2 linked regions of the Coturnix japonica genome follow. The protein of the gene in region 1 purifies or fractionates together with the protein of each later gene. This does not show direct contact. Links are inferred from orthologs where the notes say so. Each region holds a gene or a part of one and is shown in the gene's direction. Other genes may lie near its edges. The genes, in order: SHPRH and RAD18.

Region 1 (10,814 bases):
CTTTATGAACTAATTTTAAGGCCAAGCCTTGTTTAACTTAGGGAAAACATTTACTGGCAGATTTTCATCTGCGTTATTTAAATACATTGGTTAGTGGTCTGAGTACTGCAGCTCTTAGTGTACCTCTCAGCTTCTAAATCAAGGAAATAACAACCTGATCACCGGTGAAATTCCTATTTTCTTTGACAGAAGATGCAAAGACTGCTTTTCACTTCTTTATAAAGGGAAATGGCCACAGGAAAATTGTCTCTGAAGACCGTACCTTTTGCCTTCAGTGTCACTTTGAATTGTCTTTTAACCCACAGTGCAGACCACACAGAAGAATTCTACATAAAAGAGAGTTTTGATTGGTTTAATATCCATATCAGAGTCAGCTGTGAATTCAAATCCCCTCTTGCTAGAGTGTGAAAATTAAGATTTTTCTCAGGAAAAAAAAAAACAAAACTGTGGAGAAAATGTAGATAATGTCTGAAATACGAGCTATGAATGTCCTTCAGCTCTTCTCTAACCCAGTGTCATTAATCATTTCATAAATGTCTATATTTTGAATCTACATTTCCAAATGCCTTCAATGATTTTATAATAAATATTTTACTTATTCAGTTTCTGTCTTATTGGAGGGGTTGTTTTATCTCAGGAACTGCAAACTATTCATTTATGCAATTTTTGTTCTGAGAAAAAACAACAAAAAAAACCAAGGCTCCTAAGAGCAATGCTAAAGCAGTGAAATAACCTTATTATGTATATATTTAAATAACTTCAAGAACTGGATTCTAAATCCTAGATTGTAACTCCAGCAATGTCCTAGATGCAATGACATGATTATTTTTTTTTCTCCTGCTCTATATTTAGATAGTCTTTTTAACTGTCCTCTTCTCTTGGAAGATGGGAGATGGGCTTAACTCCCATCAGCGACTGATCAGCTGCTACTGTCAGTCCTGAGGTCAGGTGCGTCACCTGCTTTCCACAAAACCAGCACGCAGCTCAGCTGTGCGGCAGATGGACAAGGGTGCATGAGAACTGTGCGTACACGTGAGCTGAGACAGATGGCCCGAAGAGCATTATCCTGTGGGGTGTAGATGGGCTCCTCCAGGAGATGCTGCGCTAAGAGGTAGAAGGACATGAGTGATATATTAAACTTTTTTCTTATGATTCCTCACAATCCTTCCCCACAGAAGTGAAACACTAAAGATGAAGTGAAAAATGAGAGGTTTGAAATCCCATGGCTGCATGGTATTGTTTTGTGCATGCTGGGGAGTTAGCCTACTGGCTTACATGATTACTTTTGGCAAACAAAAACACTCTCTTCCTTATAGATCTCTGAAAAATATTTATATCTTCCACTGCTCCCTGAAGCAGTGTTATAGATGTGAATGGCAGCAATTCTACAATACACACTTAGAAAACCCCATTATGATAGCTTTTTGAAATACTTTTACTTTGAAATACCGAACACCATAGAAGGTGGGTAGAATTGATCCTACAAACAATTTCCTACCAGTGTACAGAATCTTGACTGTTAGTTTACTTATCTGGAACAGATTGAAGTCTCTATAGACCACAGACTGTGCTTCTGCTGTGGTTCATTTTTTCACTTCCTCTATACGGTGATTTCATTTGTAGAACTCAAAAGATTTCTCTTATTACTTAAGAAACCAATTAACACAGCGAGTGTTCCTTTACTTAATTCGCTGAGGCACACAGAGGCTCAGTAAGCTCTTCAGCACAATATACAGTCATTGCTGCACAAGGAACACAGTACATCTACCCTCCATTTTATTCTCATACTGCAACCATTCACACTTCCTTCTGCCACGGCCAATTTGGAGAAAAGTACCATCTAGATTTCTTTTAGAAAACTTCTGCTTGCTTTTTCAATTAAAATATCAGTATATAGAACTCTAAAATATTGTATGTTGACTACCATGTTGTTTTCCATCCACCCTCAAAAAAGAAAATTCTTACAAAGTTGCACGTTCGCTGCTTTTATTTGCTTACTCCTTCTGGAAAACAGGAGTTGATATTGAGAGCAAAGTGGAATTTGTTTCCACAAAGAAGAAAGTCTGTGTTCTCAGATGTGGTCAAAAAACCCCACACAGTCTTCTTTTATGTCACGTTTTCCTCTCTTCATACTGTTCCTTTCTATTTCATTAAATTAAATGGCAATTATCTTCTTTCATGCATTCATGTTCTATAGAACAGGAGGGAAATTACTAGGTACTAATCACTGGAATCCTTAGTTCTTAGTTGCTGAATACAAATGGGCATTCTTCCACTTGTTCTTGACCCTTATTTCAAAATAGAGCTCGTTTATCCTGAGAGTGAAGCTATTTCCTACAGAATGGGATTGATAGAAAAACAGAGACTTTGGAAGAAATCCTAATGCATAACAGGCACCCTCTTGGCGCACTGTATTTTCCCCTTTTTTGAAAGCAGAAAGGTTACTCTTGCTTACTAATTTTATGATGACACCCAGACAAGGTGATAAATGAAGTTCACTTTCACAAGTGCTTTTTATTTATAGTCTTTAAAAAACACAATCATTAACAAACAAAAGAAAACCAAAAAGCGCAAAAAAAAATGCCCAGCAAACCAAAGCACAAATACAAAGCCTGGAGAAGAAATGCATAATAGAGAAATACAACAGTTAATTAAATGATGAGAACTAAGAGATTCACAGCTGTTAGCCTGTGAACAAAGCCTGCTGAAGCACAGATTGTTGTCTGCTATTTCTACATGGATTCTTAAAGTGTATGCTGTTTGAGGAGTTTCTAATAATGGGTGACTGACTTGACTGCAATCTGTGATTTTTGTGCGTGGCTTATTTTTTCTTATTTTTTTTTTTCCTAAAGAAAATTCTTACAGAGAATCTGGTGTGATCTTTTGGTTTAAGCATTTCTGTCTGCTACTGTTTGTGCTGCCATATATTTCTGTCAGAGAAATCTAAGTGAAAAAAGCATTCTTTGCACTTTTTGTGGGAAGGATTTTAAGTTTTGATGGTCATCATGTCCTGGGAGAGCTAGAGTAAGGGCTAGGTAAATGGATACTGCTAGAATCTTTATTGGGTTTTTCAGTATGAAGGAGACTAGGAAAATTTCTCTGGATGATTCATCACCTGCTGGATGCAGAAGAGAAGCCCATGCCAAAAGTTTACAGTTCCTTCAGAAATTAAAAAAAATTAACTTAACAAAGAGCTTTTGGATGGCTGAAAATCCTGAATTGCAAAACTATGAGTTGGCAGGATAGATCCATCATGTTCAAGAAGGCTTTGCAGATTTATAATAGCATAAGGCATAGCAGTGTTCATTGTTAGCTTTATAGCTAGTTGTAGATATTAATAACACTTTCCTGTTACTAGCCTTAGGATTAGATTTGACAGCAGTTATGGATCCTTACAGGTAGCCCTTTAGGCTGCACACAAATAGTCTCTATCAGACAAGCCAGTGGATACAGGCCAGTTCCTGGCCAAGTGCCACAGCCTATATTGTACCTGAAGCCTTTAAGAAGGAGATGCAGCCAGTTTGCATTTAAGCAGGACTGACCTTCAGCATGAGAAGTATCCTGAAACATATTTTGCCCCTCCTTGTTGTGAATGCCTCTGCATTGTCTTTATAAGGGTACAGACCTGGAGTAACCTCTGGTTTCTAATCTCAACAACTAGACAGTCAGGTAGCACGATACTACTAATGCTAAATCAGAGACAAAACTTCGGAGCCAACCAAACTCAAAATAAAAGGGCAAATGATCCACAGTAAACTGAATAAATTATATATTTCATGTATTCGCACGTACCTTTGGTTAGGGGCTAAAGAAAAGAGGGTTTATTCCATCTGGAAGGTTTCCCTTCTCTTTCCCATTTCCCAGCGCTGGTGTAATCCAGATTTCATCAAGTGGAGGAGGACGAGCAGCACCCACAGTGGGTCCCAGTCTCTCATGCCAGCAGCAGGTGCAGAAACCTTGTATGAGGAGTCTCAGGTCTGAGGAAATCTCCCCAGTCCCAGACTGACAGTACAACACTTCTGTGGCCCATGCACTTCAGTAGCCATTAAGGGAGCAGTTCTCTAACTGCTTGAGCTCCTTTCACTGAAGAGAACCACTTAAGAACTGGAAAACCTGATGTTAACAACTTAAAGTGTGATCCTGGGTGTCATCCCTTGGTGGGAACAGTCTATCCAGGCATATGGCTGCTTGCCAGGATGTGGGAGTGAAACATGGCAGCTTCAGAAATTCCTAAGGAAGCATAGAGTGGTAATTGCTCGTTCTCTCACTTACTGAGTCAGCAGCTAACTCCCAAAGAGGCACATCCAGAAGACCAAGCCCTCCATTTAAAAGTAAAAACTAAAAAAGATCATCTAATGAGACCTTTTGGTCATGAAAAGACAGAAAGGCTCCCAAGGCAACTCTGAGCCAACAATGTGTGTGGCAATGCCCAGGCCCCATGTGAAGGCAGGTTCACACTCATTATTCACAGGTCTGGGCTACAGCCCTGTACATGGGTACTGTGGTGAGTTGCACTTGTAATTATCCAAACTTTCAACTTTTCAGACTAACAGAACCCCCACATCAGACTGCGGCCACTAATTCTTGTCCCCATCAAGGTGACAGCAGGGCTGGGCTACAGCTGCCCACAGCCCTGCCCCACTGCAAGCCCATGCCAAGGCCTCAGCCCACCCCAGCCCCCTGGTGCCATACTGCTGGTGAGTGGGGGGGGACAAGGTGGGCTGCAGGCCCTGCCCTGACAGAAGCACAGGCAGCTCTGACATCTCTATTTTCAGCTGTTAGAAGTAATGTTCCCAGCAGGTTATTTCCTCTTTGTCTCCCTTGCTATCTTACTCTGGTTACAAACGTATAATGAGGAGTATGAAGTAGCTGCCCATTTCACTGTCAATTTACAGTTGTAAAATGTGATTAAGTGATGATTTCAAAGCTAGTTTTCATGCAGGAGCATCTAGTGGCCACACAGCAACCCATGCACAGGGGAATAAAGCAGTCAACCTGCTGCCACAAGGGTGCAAGCATCCCAAATGCTCCTTCTGTGCTGCCTACCCAGGGCTGGGCAGCACAGGAGCACTACGGCTGGGAACAGTGGAGAACCAGCCACAAAAACAATCCAGTTGGCTTCATTTGTAGACTAGCAAATGGGCCGAGCAGCTAATAAAAGGAAAAGAAGCTCTGATTTTAAATGACTTTCCAATGTCTTTATTTACAGCCCTCACAAGCACACGCGTGGATCTGCTTATTTCAGAAGAAGATGAACATGCTCCTAGTTCCTGCAGAAATAATAACAACCACTTAAGGAAAATCTATCAGCCCCATTAGCAATGCTCCCTCCCCCGTAAGCCTGCGCACTCCGCCCCGCAGGCCTCATCCTCGTCCCCGCCCCTCTGTGGGCAAACACCACACTCCCCGCCCCTTTACCCAGCGGGGGCCGACTGCGCTTGCTCAGCCTCGGCGCTATCACGCTGCCGGCTACGTCCGTGTGCGAAGCGGGCCGAGCTGTCACCGTCAGCGGATTCCATTGGTTGCCCGGCAGGCCGTGCCCACCTCCCCCCCGTTCGGGGTCGTTCCTACCTCACTGTAGGCTGGAGCGTCCCTCCCCTCCTCCCCTTTCTCCTCCCCCTTCGCGGGAGACGAAACCGACGGGGTGAAGGCAGACAGTACCTTTTGTTCCTCCCCTTTCCCCTCCCCTCCCCGGTCTTCCTGTGCCGGACGTTGGTCGCACGGCCCTGCTGTGAGCGGGGAAGGAGCTTCGCGAGAGGGCGGAACGCCGCCTCACCCTGCGGTGCGTTGGTTGGTGGCTGCGCTCCGGGGGCCCTTCCGAGTCCCCGCTGTGGGAAAAGTCCGCCTGGCTTCGCGTAGCGCCCGGCGGGGGGCCCTCCTGGCGGCCTCTAGGGAACGGGCCTATTGGGCTCTGAGGGCGGGGGGGGCCGGACCATCTGGGGAATATCCGGTGTGAAGGAGCCGCACTGATGGCTGGAATCTTCCTGCTTCGGTTCTGATAGATGTTACCTCTTGGGGCTTGATTTCTAAGTGTCAGCAACTCTCTCGTCGCGCCTGAGTGCTATGATGGAAAAACATGAGGTGTTTTCTAACCTTAATTCTCCTACGTTTGAAATTCAGACGCAGCAATTGTTGAAGTAGCTCATAAGGAAACCCTCTATTTCAAACGACGAATGTTTGGTTTTTATAGGTTTGTCAAAAGTCAGGTGGTTTGTTTGTTTTTCTTGGGATTACCCTGTAACGTTAGAGTATGGAATACTGGAGTTAGTAGGTTAGATCCGCATCATCCAATGCTTCATCAGCAGTTGTGTCCCTGTTTTATTTACAGTCATATGCAGAAGTTGAGTTGGCATGAATATCTTAAGTATTTTTCTATCTTTACTGTTGAAGAAAGTGTGTTTAAAAAATGTGTTTAGTGCCCAAGTTGGAGGAGTACCTGGATTTAACTTTGTGGTTAGTCAGAATCAGTAAGGATATGTGTTTACTTTGCTTATTGGTCCCACTGAAATGCATGTGGAATAAGTAAGTGCTGTGCTGCAAGCAATTTGTATATTCAGGTCTCAAGATGTACAGGTTTATGGGGAGGTCGAGTCTTTGATACTTCTAGGAATGCCATTAAGGATTTCTAAGGACAGAATTTGAGCATTTGGGCTCTAAACTATAGGCTGGAGACAAAGCCCTCTGCTGAGTTTGCTTCAAGTGTACTTCCCATGTAATTTTTGAAGGAAAAGGAAAAATATGTGCCTTCTCCCCACTCCCGCCTCCAAATCTCCTGTTCACCCTGCCTGCTTGTTTATGATGTCACTTTTACTGTCTCCCACCACCCCTACCATTGAGAGATTCCAGTGCTTCTGTTTTTATATCTGTCCCACAAGAGTCTCAGTAACAGCTTTGAAATGCAGCATTCTTGTTGATCTTGCTCTGTAACTGTCTGGCAGAATGAAACAGACTGTGAAGAAAGTGCTTGGTGTCCAGTTTCTTTTTGTGTAGGAACAGGAGATGCTCTGTAAAACAGTGTACTAAAGAGTTTAGCAGTTCCTGCACAGTGAACTTTTAATGCGGGTGTTTGATTTTGCAGTACTTATCACTGACTAATATTAATTTATCTCACAGAGACTGAAAATACCGCTGAGAAAAACGACAAAATGAGTAGTCGTCGAAAGCGTGCACCTCCATCAAAGATAGATGAGGCGGGAAAGAAACTGCTCTGTTGGAACATGCATGAGGACCGGAGAAATGAGTTGATAACATTAGATGATGAATTGACTACTGGGGATGATGTTCCAGGTCCCAGCACTTCTTCTGCATCCTTCTTTGTAATAAATGATGATAGCATTGATGAAGATCTCATTCAAAAAGCTGACAGTCATTCAAAATCTGAGAAGTTTTTGACAGCTAATGATGGTGAAGACTCTAATTCCACCTCGACTCCCATGTCAGTACAGCTAAATATTGTAGTCTCGCCATACCGTGCGGATGGGTCCTGGAAAGTTTTATTGGGAGAACTTACTTTTTATCTTCCTTCTGAGCAAATTGCAAGTGAGGAATTCCATGAAAGGAGCTTTACGTTAATCAGAGGAGACTCTGACAATCACCTGCTGGTCTGTGTCCATAAAAGAAGCGAAGAAGAGTACAGTAATGGAGCAAAAGAATGCCTTGATGCTTACGAGCAAATTGTTTTGGTGGAACCAGCTTTAGGTGGTGAAATATTGGAAGGCTTGAGGTGGTTGCAAAATAAAAAGATAATTGGACTTTATCAAAGACCTGGAGAGGGTCAAGCTCTAAAGGTATTGATTCTTATATTCATTTTTATTGGTTGGAACTATATATATATACATATACCATATACGTATATGCGTACACACATGCACACACACACACACACACATAAAAGTAAAGCCACTAACAAGTCTGGCAGCTATTGTATTTTTATAATGTGATGAGATATATGGTTTCTACATCCTTTTGCAGATGTTTTTCATGTGTCTTTTTTTTTTTTTTTGTTCCCCTAAAACTACCTTTTACTGTTGCACTCCTACTTATGTATTACTTAAGGAATCAAGGGAACTTTTGGCTATGATATTTTGTATCTTTCACAAGGCTAGTTTGGTCAGTTCATTGTACCTATTTGCTTCTGCTAATTTTGACAATGTGGTAGTTAAGGTTAGCACTATTATTTTCATGTTCTTCTATTTATAATATTCTTGGTGTCCAGCTAATTTATTAAATGATTAATTTTATAACCATTTCTTAGGTTGGAATCTACCTTCTGGAAGCAGGGCTAAGTAAACCAGAGTTTCTCAGTGATGGAGGTGGAAGACCCAAAAAAGCTAATCAGCTAGTTCAAAAACTCATGGAAAAGTTCTATAGTTTTATAATTCCAGGTAATGTGATTTTATTGAATGTTGATGAATAATTTGAAGTATAAAACTGTCACTTTAATAATTGTAAATGTAAGGGACGTTTTTAAGTTGTTCCTGTCCTCTAGAGCAGCTGTGTTTTTAGTAATATTGTTCACTGTTAGTCTTCCTGTGCTAATATCTGGTCATTAATCATATATTAATTAACTTATGGTTATACATAATAACATTTCTTCTCTGCACATAAGGCACTGAGGCATATAGAAGCTTGAGACCTTACTGTCTGGGGAGTAAATGTAACTTTCACTAATTCTTATGAATTGTTTGACTAGATTTAGGGTGACTCATCCAAGTTACATAGGAGCTGTTTTAAAAAAGAGAGGAATTAAACTCCTTAACCATTTGTTCCTAGGTCAGTGCCCAATACAACAACTCTGGCGGCAAAACTTTTGTTGGAGTTGTATTCTGAAGTCGTTATAATGAAAATTGCATTATAGATTTACACACAAATGAAGGAGATGTCTGCCCTTATCCCTACATTTTGTTTTTAAGTACTTATTTTCCTCAGTGTACCCATCCTGTTCATGTCCTTGTAGATGGTTTAATTTTAGTTTTCTGAGAAGAATGTTACACAGTGGGTTTCTCTCCAGTTCTAGAGAGGCTTTGTATCTTTCCTTGAACTGCAGAGTTGTACAGCTGTTCCTGGGTAAGTACTAAAAGCTGTTTTACTGGTACCATTTCTTTTATTTGAGACCTAAAACATAGTTGGAACTTGTCCATTAAGTCGTTTGTTGCTTGGTCTTACTTCAGTTTCCTAAAATTTTGACCCTTGAATTTTTTCATGAATATTTGTTCTACGGTGCTGAAGTTCTGCATATGCCCATACATGCAGATTTTGTTTGAAATACAAGACCTTTCTAAGTCTTCTAGATGTACATCTCTTGAAGCTAGATTGTAATTCCTGAAGTATGATTTGTTGGATTTCTTACAGTGATGCAAAGGGTAAGACTCGCATGTTGTCACACTGTTGCCATTTTTTTGATCAGACAAATAATTTAAAAGTAACACTTAGGCTGATTGAGTAGATTTTTCTTGATGTTTTTGATATGTTCTCTTATCAAGAAAGGGCTTATTTCTTGAAAAATGTACAAATCTTTTGCCCACAGTTATTTTCCCCCCTCTCTTTCTCTAAGAAGACCAACCCATTTAGGGTACTGCTTGATGGACTTGATGATATTTGAGGTCTTTTCCAATCTGAGTAACTCTATGATTTAATCTGAAATGTGATTTAATCTGAAATGTATGTTATTTGTGATCCCGTATGAGGTAAAAATGTTTAGGAGAAGGTGCTTGTAAAATTAGACTTAGTCATGCTATTCCTGAATTCTAAGAATAGAATAGAATCATAGAATTGCTCAGGTTGGAAAAGACCTTAAAGATGATCAAGTCCAACCACAAGCTAACCATACTACCCTAACTCTATCAACCTTCTTCTAAATCATGTCCCTGAGCACCACATCTGAATGGTTTTTAAACACGTCTAGGGATGGTGACTCAACCACCTCCCTGGGGTGCTTAAGGGAAGAGCTTTACCAGTTATGTATGTCTCTGTCATGGCTATAGTGTGTTAACATTAGCTTTTAGGAAACTGCTGGTAGCTTAGTCAGGTGTAATCATGACTTATATTTAGAAGAGGTTTTGCTTTCATTTCCTATTTAGATAAGCTGCAGCAAAACTTACTGAAATGTTGACCAAAAGTGAATGATAATGCATTTATTGTGTATGCAGATGTGTTGGAGGAAGATGAGGAAGAATCTGACATGGAGCTAGAGCGGCAAAATATTGAAGAGCTTTATGACTTTGTAAGGCATACACACCAGCAGGATGTCCAACTACTGAGAGAGGATGTGCAGCATCCTGCCTTAATTCCCATTCTAAGGCCATACCAAAGTGAAGCTGTGAATTGGATGCTTCACCGAGAGAACTTCACAAGCACTCCAGGTGGTGGCAAGTATATGGGACTTGAAAACTTGTATAGTCAAGGAAAATGGCATTGCATTGTTAGTGGAATGTCTTATTGCTATTTCATTAGAAGTTTTCTTAATTGTTTTATTACCATTTTTATAAAAGCTGTTGGGTAGTTGTATAGGTGGTAACTACAAGGGTGGGAACAAATGTACAGAAGATATAAGTAAAAGAGGAACTCACCAATAATGACACTTCAGCTGAAGGAGCTAGGGCAATCTTCACTAGCAAGTGATCTCCAATAGATGCTGCCTCAGTGAGGGTCAGCCCTTAAATGAGGTCTCAGAGGAGGTGGAGTCAAGCTCCACCCCTCCTGGGAGCACAGCTACATTACTCTTACCTGTGCTCCCGCAGCTGACCCCACACTTGCCCCAGCTGATTAATCAGTGGTTCACGCTGTGATTACCGGTCTCCCATACAGTAGTACAG
Region 2 (10,147 bases), on another chromosome or scaffold:
TCTGGCTGCTGAGGGCACAAGCATGGATTTGGGTTGTTAACAGGATGTGGAACACTGCAGTGTGGGTTAATTTTCATTTACTGTAACAAAAATGTTTTTTATTCAGTATTTTGTGCTTATTCCGTGTTCTTTTCACTTGTTTCTGGTTTGCCCCAGCAGTTCTGTGGCAGGGCTCTGCCTGCTGGCTGTACAGCAACACGTTTTTATGTTTCAGGAAACAAACACAAAAGCGAATTTCAATTTTTAGTGGATCAAGCAAAAAATCGGTGGGAGAAGAGTGGCAAGAGGAAAACAAAAAACATGAGAAAGAAAGAAGAAGGCACTGTCGTAGGATTGCCAGCAGGCACAGGTTAGTGGTGCTGTTTAATGTAATCCCACTCCACCTTCCTGCCTCCTGTGTTGATCAGTGCATTTCCTGCAGAAATGTTCTTTCCTTCCCTTGTTCTTCTCCCACAGTTCTTAACCTTAAAACAAACAAACATAGAAATCAAACAGACCTTGAAGAGATGGATTGCCATTGATTCTAGTGTGATTCTTAAGCACAACTCACAGTAAATGTGCAATTTGTTTGATTTTAATGTGATTGTTTACACGTGCGCTGTATTGCAGATGCATATTTTACCTAGCAGATGTAAATGGGGCATTAGGTTCTGAGCCACATGTACCAGTTAGTAATGGGCACATGGTATAAATGAAGGTGCTTGTGGGTATTGCCTGCATTGCTGCATTATTAGCATGATAAGGAGTCAGAACTGTGGAGATGTTTGGGCTGGAGCAAGTGTATTTTTTTTTTTTTGTCCTGAGGTTGAAGGAGTAAAGTACTTTGGCTTCTTGTGGAATGTTTGTGCAGTACTTTACCTCTCTTTTTTTTTTTTTTTTTCCTTTTTTTTCTTTTTTTTAACTTGCTTCATTTTGTATCCGTATCCTTCAGCACAGTGAGAAGTGGGAATGCACAGCTGCAGACACTCAGTTCAGCAGATATACTTGGAGTTAGGAGGAGCATCCAGCATATGTTTGTTGTCCTCACTGCCCGCATCAGAGAAACACCTCCATGTGCTTTTAACTTGTTCCCTGTAGTCTTATTCAGTCTCATTTGTTTTATGGCATTGTTTGCTGTGGCAGCATGCGGTCAGTTTTGGATGTGTGATTCAGAAAAGCAGTCATTGGGCTAATATTTGTGGAATTAAGGTGTATTCAGGATGCTGAATTTCAAAGAGCATTCCATCGGCCAGAATTGGATGTGCTGCTGTCTGTATTCCTTGGGGAAATATGGCAGATCATTTTGTAGCAGCCCTCACACATCTCTGTGCTGCCTGAGTTGAGCTGTGTTCCTCTCTGGTATGAGGCTGTCTCCTGTGCTGTCACCTCCAGCAGAGAATAAAAAGAAATGAAATGTCAGTGAAGTAGTATGAATTCTATCCTTATCATTTCATGCAGATCTTGATGCAATGCCCAATCTTTTCCATATGAAAGGTAAAAGGTAAGGAATCTCTAGGATGAAGCTTGACTCATTTGATGTAACTTACAGTGGTGTCCCTCTTCTATAGCAGAGACAGAAGCAATGTGCTACTAGATAATGGGATCACAGACTGAAATATTAATTTCTTGCTATCATCAGTGGAGAGATTGGCTCCTGAGTTTCTTTTTCCTTGTGCCCTGAACTGCAGGCTTTGAGAACCTAAGTAAAGCCATGCAGCTTTTCCAAGAGTGCTCAGGCAGAAAGTAACTTGCAAGAGCCGTATCATCCTGTATTGGGTTGGCTTAAGCAGATGACACGCCCTCATCTGGGTCTGGCATATCTTTGAAAGATTTGTTACTCTTCTTGTGCTTTCTGTAGTCTTTGAAATTTTGCATGCGAATAATCCTTGAAATTAGTTTCTCATTTTGTGCTGAACAGATGTACCTAGTTGGCTGTTTATTAAGCTGCTGAGAAAAGCAAGGAAAGCATGAAGATTTCGGGTGAAGGAACGGAAGGCTCAGGCCTTTTCTTCTTCCATGTTTGTTATTAACAGCACGTACCTTTTTATTAAATTGGAGATTATAACTTTGAAAGAAAGAAAGCCGGCACTGGTCTGATGACTTGCTGTTGGAAAACGTTACTTCCAAGAAGAGCAAAGGCTTTGTATGCATTCCTTACCCACTTCTTCAGAGTCTGAAAGAGATAGATGGTAGATCCTGGAACTATGCAGAATTAAAACATTATTTTTTAAACCTTAATATCTCCCATTGCCTTTAACTGTAGTATTAATGGATGTAACTTATTTCTCTCTCAAAATCTTGCTCTGTCATAATGTTTTAATCATCCCTTCTTAATTCACGTGATCTTATTTCACATCTTCAAACTTAGACAGGAAATTTAATTATTTTTTTGTTTTTGTTTTTATAACTGATGAATGTAGGATTTTGCACTGCTCAGTGGAAGTACTGTAAGAAATTGATAAATACTTTTGATGCATCTATTTTGAGCTGTGTTATTGTATTGGACCTTTATTTTTAATCTCCTGATGTCAGTAATGCTGCATTAGTTAGACAGCTGACTCACTGTAATCTGCTGGTTGTTTTCAACCGACAGAAATATGCTCCTGACAATTAAATATGCCCTTTAGCATAGGGGAAAGGGCAAACTCGAGCACAATTCATAGATTGTGTAGCTTTTCCACATTGTGGCTATGGTTCTGTTTGGCCAGTTCTGTCAAAAATCCCTGTAGAGGTACTAAAGTGGAAGTGTTTTGAGCAGGAATATAATTTGGGAGGCGTGGGTGCAGAGAAAACACCTCTGTGAACTGCCTTGAATTATTAACAAGTCTCAGTATGGCTTTAATATCCCTTGCAGCTTCCTGCTTAAATAACTCATTTGAAAGTACTTGTGGGCAGCGCATAAAAGCAAGTTTTCTTTTTGTATCATACTTCCTAGTCTATATTTACTACCTATGTGGTGATGTAGGAGGCATCTCTTGAGAGAACTGTTCATCTTCTAATAGATGAAAATATTTGATAGGAAAATAATAGATGGCTTTACAATTCGTTTCCATTGTCTAGAAATGTTCTTTCCTATAAGAGTGAACGGAAATGCTGATGATCTATTCTGACATATCATCTTTCTTGCATGCAAAAGAAAATAAATCATTATGTTTCTTTTATTGAAAACAAGCCTATTATCTCGATCTGTGAAACTGAAGCTATCAAGATGTCTTATGCAATGAGTGAAGTGAATTGGCTGCAAGAACCGGAGGATGGAGCTGTCTCATTAAGTGTTTGCTAATTTCTGAAATGTGACAAATAACCTTACCCTTTATTTCTCTCCTTGTTTCTATTTGAGACTCATAACAAGGGAATATTTCTGTTTCAGGCTCTGGTTCTTAGGGATTGTTTGTTGTTGTTTCCGCTTTTTTGTTGCTGTTGGCTCTTTTTCTGCTGTAGTTTAAAAAAAAAACAAAAAAACAACATGAAAAACAAAAAAAAAAAACCTTTTGAAGCTGTGAGAGTTTGGGAAGTGAGTAGGAATGAGGTGTCAGTATACAAATGCTTTACACCTTTTGTTTCTCTTAAAGTCTGTCTTCAGGCAGCAAAAAAATAAGTGATATTGTTTTTCTTGATAGGGGAAGATCTTGAAGAGCATCATTCGGCTTCAGTCCTTGGAGAAGCCCAGGAACTCAAACCAGGATCTCCTGATGGCAAAAGAAGTGACCCTCATTCCTCAGAGGAAGGCCAGGGCTCGGTCTCTCTTGCATCCTCAGTCTCATCCGGATCATCGAGCAGGTTAGCACGGTTAGTCTAGTTAGTCTGTTCTCATTACTCCATTAGACCAAAGTGAAGAAACTTTGGCATGGATACTGGGCCATTTGTATTTATACTCTGCGTTGTAGGAGGTGATTCTCAGCTGTGGTTATTCATTCCTTCTCTTCCACGTTTCTGTCTGTTCAGCTGCTTGCAGGATGCATTCAGATTCTCTTAATAGCTTAGTAATGGGTTGATAGAAGCACTGTAGTAGAAATGTTCCTTTTTGTACAGAAAAGTGAGTGAAATGGCTGTGGGACCAGGAGAATGTCTGATGTTTCTCTTACTGCATCATCTCTTTAAATAAATCTTCAAACAAAAATTGATATTGCCTAAATCTTTTAATGGTTCTTGGAGCCGAGTGTTGCTATGAGAAATAGAATTTAAATGACCCATTACTTTCAGGCAGGGATAGAATGTCATTGAACCTTGAAGTCCTGACATCCATTTACTTTTCCTTCTTAATTCATTTAGTTTTGCTTACTGAAGTGGCTTTATTTGGTCACAGGAAATGAAGAATCGAGGAAGGTTTTATAAATGTTTTGGTACTTCAGTGCTGGTGTTATTGAAAAGAGCCTCAGCTTCTACTGCTTCAAGATCTACCTGCATAGTTTTTGAAGATGGAGTTTGTGTCTGTTGAAAACACATGCTTCATAGATCACAATTTGCTAGGTACTGCTCTATCGATTGTTGAAGATGATTCATGCTAAGATAAACGTCTTTTTCAGTACTGGGTGTTGTAGGCTCAGCTTCTAGAGGGAAAGGGAAAGTGGTTGAGTGGGATAACTAGTTTTCTGGTACACATCCTGGCCTGTTTGGTGCACCAGAGAATTGAGCCTTGTGCTGGCAGGACTGGCACCCTGAGAGCATCTCCATGCCTGTGCTGTTTGGGTGCAGGAGCTTCCTGGAGGTGCTCTATGCATGACCTGTTCTGAGGATGGCTTGGCCTGGAGGAGCAACTCCTGGACCCTTACTTGGAAGGAAGGAGCTGATGTGGTGCCTTGTTCCTCAGGCTGTTTTCATGTGCTAAAACCTCAACTTTGCAACTGGCAGCTTTGGCACTGACTGTTGTGCTGCTGGCAGGTGCTGCTGGGAGCTGTGTGGTGCCTGGGTCTGTGCTTTGGTTGTGTAGCAAAGTAGATGGGAGCCCAGGCAGAAGCTCTCCAGTTTCAGGTGTCATATTGGACATGTGTGCAGATGGCACATGGAGCTGCTTCCTCCCCCCTGTGTCTGCAAGGCACCTGTCCCTGGGGCTCTGGTGATAGCAGCTGCACAAAATAAATGCCCTCCAGGTGATTTCTTATCCAGAACTTGAATGAGATATTCCTGTTCTTGTTTCACTCTTTTTTTCCTTTTTTTTTAAATTTATTTTTTCTTTTTTGACTGCACGCTCTCCTTTTAGCATTAAACACCCTGGAAGATCTCGAATTTTCAATTGACAGAGTGAGAAAGTTTTCCTTTCATTGGCTCATCCAAGGAATCATTAAATCTGCTCCTCTGCCAACTAGGTATATAAATAATACCCTGAGTGACCCTCCTGTGGCCTTTGGCATCACAGTTACATTCTCATTCTGTACCTTTCTGTGTCTGCAGACTTATGTTTATTATTCTCAAGTCTGGATGAAAGTGTGTTGAAGAGGCAGTTTGCTGTAGGGTATCAGCATGTAGCTGCTACTGATGGTTTGAATGTGCTTTCACGAAGCAAGCTGGCAGATACTGTTGGAAAGCACATGTTTGTTTGCGTCATGTCTGGCTCAGAACGAAGCTGTTTGTTACTTCTTTGCATGTATTCACTCTCTCCAAATTAAGTATTTCCATAGATTTCTTGACTCAAATATAGAATCTCACAGCTGCAAAGACCAGTCTGTATGTCTCAGATATTTGGAACTCTTTAAAAAAAAAACAAACGTAAGCCAACAGACACACTTTTTGTGGCTTATTCACTTCAAATTCTGTAGCACAGAACTGCTTTTTCAGAATCTCTCTGGGACTTTTCTCTTTGCTTTCTTGCTCTGTAGATGCTCTCTGCTTTGTACATGCAGCATGTTTATATTTGTTTAAGTTTAGTGCAGTTTGCGTAACCTTACAAGTTAGCGACTGTGTTGGTCAGGAAGTTCACTGCAGTGGTGCTGGGTTTTTTTTTTTTGTGTATTTTTTATATGTTGTGTCGCTCTCTGGCTGCCATGGAGTTAATGTTCTCTGAAGTGTCGTGAAAACAAAGAATGATTTACAGTGGGGTGGTCCATAGCATTGTGCTTTTGCATCAAGATACGATTTTCGGAGACTTACATTTTCTTATAATAAGAGGATATCCTCTGACAAGGGGGATCTTATTTCACATTGAAATGTCAAAACTTGAAATATACTTGAGAGTCTCAATGTGCGTGCTGTACTTTTAAGCACGTAGAGAACACTTTTATATGGAGTCCTGATGCTGTGATGCATCAAAAGAAAATTTGGATTTTGAGCAGCAAATGGAATACAGCCAGTCACAAAGGCAGAGAGCTGAATTCTTTGTTCTGTTAACTACACTGAAAGTGATTTGGTGATTCCTACGTGCTGTCCTTCACAAGAACTTGTACCCCTTTTCAATCCAATACCAATAAACCTTCTATTTTATACAACTAAGGGAGCAGTTGGACCTACAGTACATCCATACATCTGTTGTACTCATGACAGTGCTGATGTTATTCAGAAGTCACTGCTCTACATGAGGACAGGAGAACTCTATGCCTGCTGGAGAAGAGGTAAAACATGTAGGGAGGGCAGCATCGATCCAGACGTGTTTGGTCTTTTCAGAAATTGATGATCCCACCAACGAGGCAAAATGCTCGTAATAGATAAACAGCGGGACAAAGCCCTGACTTTTAAAGGATATTTTTTCAAAGCTGTGAAGTCATATATAAAGCTTTCATGGAACTTTAGTGCTCCATATAAATAGTCCCACTGTGTTCTTTTACTTTCTGGGACTGAAGCCAAGCTTTATGCAAGAATTTGAACAATAGAAAAATGAGAAAAGAAGGTAGGTGGGACAGTGATAAGCCAGTTAATGAACCACACAGAGGAAATATTTTATTAAAAGTACTCCATAAGACTGAGATAACATTCGGTCATTTAAACAAATTATTTCGGTTTAAAACTGCTGTTAGAAGAGAGCATCAGTTCTTGAGGAGCAGAGTGGAGGACTTGCAGCACAGACAATATATCTTTGGCCTCGTCTAACAGTATTATATTGTACAGTGAAACAGGGTGATTTAATTTTGAAACACTGACTCAAAAGTGCTGTATCTGCAGCTTGTGTAAATCTCTGCCTCCGGGATACACGGAGCTACTGCAGCACTGCCAGCTGAGCTCCTTGCCCAAGCCAGGACACTCGTTTGCACTAAGTGGGACTTCTTGGCATTGTGCTTGACAGCTATTGATCAGGAAGAAGGTCTGCTTTTAGCTGGTCACTTGCTTTGGCTTTAGGTGCTTTGCAGAAGTTGAGCTTTAGTTCATGAGCTGGAGAGGGCATAGTATGCTCTGGTTGCAGTCTGTAGGGTGCTGGATGGCAGCATCCCCTGGATGCTTCTCACAGACATGGTTTTGTCAGAGCTGGCAGTGCAGGGTGTCCGGGAGAGCTGTGGGGGGACTTCCTGGCACTGCAGATAGGGATAACCAGGATGCTGTCCTGGTCCTGGGCTGGTTTTCTCTGGCATGAGGCAGTGTGTGAGACCAGGGGCAGTAGCTGTTTCTTTTCAGTTCTGTAGTTCAGTTCTGAGTTAATGAATCTTGTGCTGCTGTGGTGCACATCAAATGTTAGATGGGAGCGTTTTGTCTTTGATTTTTTTGTTTGTTTGTTTGTTTGTTTGCTTGTTTTTTGGCTGAAATGTGAGTCCATTGCATAAGGATGATGTTGCTTCTCTGCTATTAATTCATACCTTTGTTCCAACAACTGTGAGCTGTAGTGTATGGACACAGAGCTGCAGGGGCTGTGGGTGGAGTCCTAGAGAGGCCATTTCCAAAGGGGCCAGCTGCTGGCCTCTGGTTTGTGCAGAGAACAGTGCCTGCATAGGAGAGGTGCCAGAGCATCAGCTGCAGCTGTGGTTTTGGGCACCTTTGAGCCCTGAAAACAAGTGAGGGGACCAGCACTCAATGTTGCCTTGTCTGCCTGATGCCCTGCATGCTAGGGCTGTTTGTCACAGGCAGGCTGGCGTCTGGAATGGGAGCAAGCACTCCTTGTGGCTGGGTATTCGCCTTCAAATGGTGCTGGTGAAGTGAGAGTCTCACTTGGTGCTAACAGCGAGAACTGCTCTGTGCATGTGCCGGAGTGCAGGGCAGGATGGGCTGATGAAAGGGCACTGCTCGTTGGGCAGCCAAGAGGGAACTTAATTTGCCATAAAGCAAACATGTTCAGAGAGATGTTTACTCCTTTCATTTTTAGAATGAGACATGTTATTCACACTTACGTCAGCTTTCTTCTCTCTATTTTTATGGTGGTGTTTATCTTTTAAGGAGCAAAACAAAACCGAAACATCACTAACAAAGGGCGAGGGGGAGTAAAATTCAGCTGATGATGGAGGAAGGAACAGTTCGCTCCTGACTGCCTGTAAGTGCCCCGAGGAAGCTGACCCTCAGCCTGCAGGAGCAGTGGGTGCTGCAGCGGAATCCTTCATGCCCTCACTGTGCTCCTCAGCCCTCCACACCACAAGCACTTACATCTCAGAGCTTTACTGGTTTTGCTGTGTGAATTTACTGATCTGGAATTCTCAATGTAAGATAGGAAGAATAATCTTCCTTAAAGGGAAGGACAAAAGACTTCTTGTAGGTAATTGTCTTGGATTTGGAGCCCAAATGAAGCCTGAAGATGTGTTGTGCCTTGCCTGGCCTTTGTGTGCCTGCTGGCTGTACTGGGAAGGCAGAAGCATCCGAAGGAACGAGTAAAACTGTACACTGAAATGTGTAAAACCAGCATGCAGATCGAGGTAGCTGTTTCTTTTCAATTTCGTTCATTTTCTTCAGTTTAAATGCAGGTTGTTCAACAATAAGGAGATATTGGAAGCTTTCCACAAAACAAAATTGTTTAAAAATTTGAACTCAGTTGGTCAGTATCCCTTTTGGTTTAATAGTCAGCATTTCAATAAAGAGCTGGAAAAGGTTTTTTGATAGTTGTTTTGCAGTTATCCATTTAGAGTTGTTTTTTTCTCCCCACACGTGGAAAATAGTATGAAGTGTGTAATCACAGCAGCTCAGCATCAAGACGTGGCTTGATCTTTGTTGAAGAAGCTGATGTTTAACACAGACTAGATATAGGGAACTATCTTAGTGAGTGACTGCCTTGGAATGATGGCTGTGTTTGAAGGAATGCTGAAACAAAGGGCAGTTTGGCCATGTCTGGGGAGCTCATAGCCCTGAGGTCTGTGTGTACACTCAGGTGCAGTGTCCTTCATCTCTCCGTACAATGGAAGTGCAGGAGTTGACTTGGTTTGTGTAGGGCTCAGACCTTTCTTGTGTTGGTATCCAGTTCTCTTATGCAGGCACGTTTTGAGGTGGTAAGTAACTCCAGCACTTTTTGGGCCTGGTTTTAAAATAGTTTGGTGGGCATAAACTTAGAAATATGCATGCAAATTATGAATGTGCATTATTGTGCTGAGTGCTAGCCAAATCTTCTCACTTTTATTATTTCGCTTGTGACAAACAGTTGGTGATTAATGATAATAAGAATAGATTTTTCAGGGCAATAAAGTACATGATGTTCAGTCATCAAACCTGTTCTTTTTCTATTTTAGGGAACCAAACGCTAATGTCTTCCTACTGCTTTTTCTTTCAATGTAACTGGAGTAGAGGGCAGGATTCAGAAGTAAGATAACTCATTCCCTGGGCATCCAGCTTGTGTGCTGGAGATGAATTCTTGACAGTGCACATTTTGAGAGTAAAAATAAACCTGCTAGACTTCTCAGCTTACCCCATCACCATTGTTTTTACAGCGTGCTTTCCTGTGGTTTTTCCTTTGAGCATTTCATGTGTAGTAATGCAGTAAGAAATCCCTGGGCGTGCTGGGGTTCCCTGACATACCCTCAAAGCACCCACGTCTGGTGCTGGGATTTGGGCTGTGCTCACTCCTCCAGGTGCTGTGAGTGGTGGGATTGGTAATTGGTGCAGAGATTAAACACTGTTCCCTATAAGTGCAGTTACTCCTTTTAATTTTAATTGCCTTCGTCTCCACATTAAAGCTGTTCTGTTGAGAAATGCTGTAATTAGATAAATTTATTCAGCAGTTCATAAAAATTCCTGGGGAACCACAGATGAGTTTCTAAAATTGCACACAGAACTTCAGAATCCATTTTGTTTTGGAATCATGTTCTCTGTATGGCAGCAGTGCTTTGTGGGT

What was found.
Region 2: the proteins of SHPRH (region 1) and RAD18 purify together in Homo sapiens (affinity purification with western blotting; 3 studies listed by BioGRID and IntAct, with this or other methods). This does not show direct contact. The link is inferred for Coturnix japonica from reciprocal best matches to the Homo sapiens genes SHPRH and RAD18.

Annotation. Positions count from the first base shown.
Region 1 is NC_029518.1:41,936,532-41,947,345, reverse strand, and holds the start of SHPRH (E3 ubiquitin-protein ligase SHPRH), read left to right. Parts: upstream 1-5,674; 5' UTR 5,675-5,782; intron 5,783-7,113; 5' UTR 7,114-7,145; coding exon 7,146-7,787; intron 7,788-8,254; coding exon 8,255-8,384; intron 8,385-8,393; exon of another isoform or gene 8,394-8,984; coding exon of another isoform or gene 8,985-9,066; intron 9,067-10,148; coding exon 10,149-10,367; intron 10,368-10,814. UniProt on the Homo sapiens protein: E3 ubiquitin-protein ligase involved in DNA repair.
Region 2 is NC_029527.1:16,629,522-16,639,668, reverse strand, and holds part of RAD18 (E3 ubiquitin-protein ligase RAD18), read left to right. Parts: intron 1-214; coding exon 215-349; intron 350-3,599; coding exon 3,600-3,759; intron 3,760-10,147. UniProt on the Homo sapiens protein: E3 ubiquitin-protein ligase involved in postreplication repair of UV-damaged DNA. Postreplication repair functions in gap-filling of a daughter strand on replication of damaged DNA.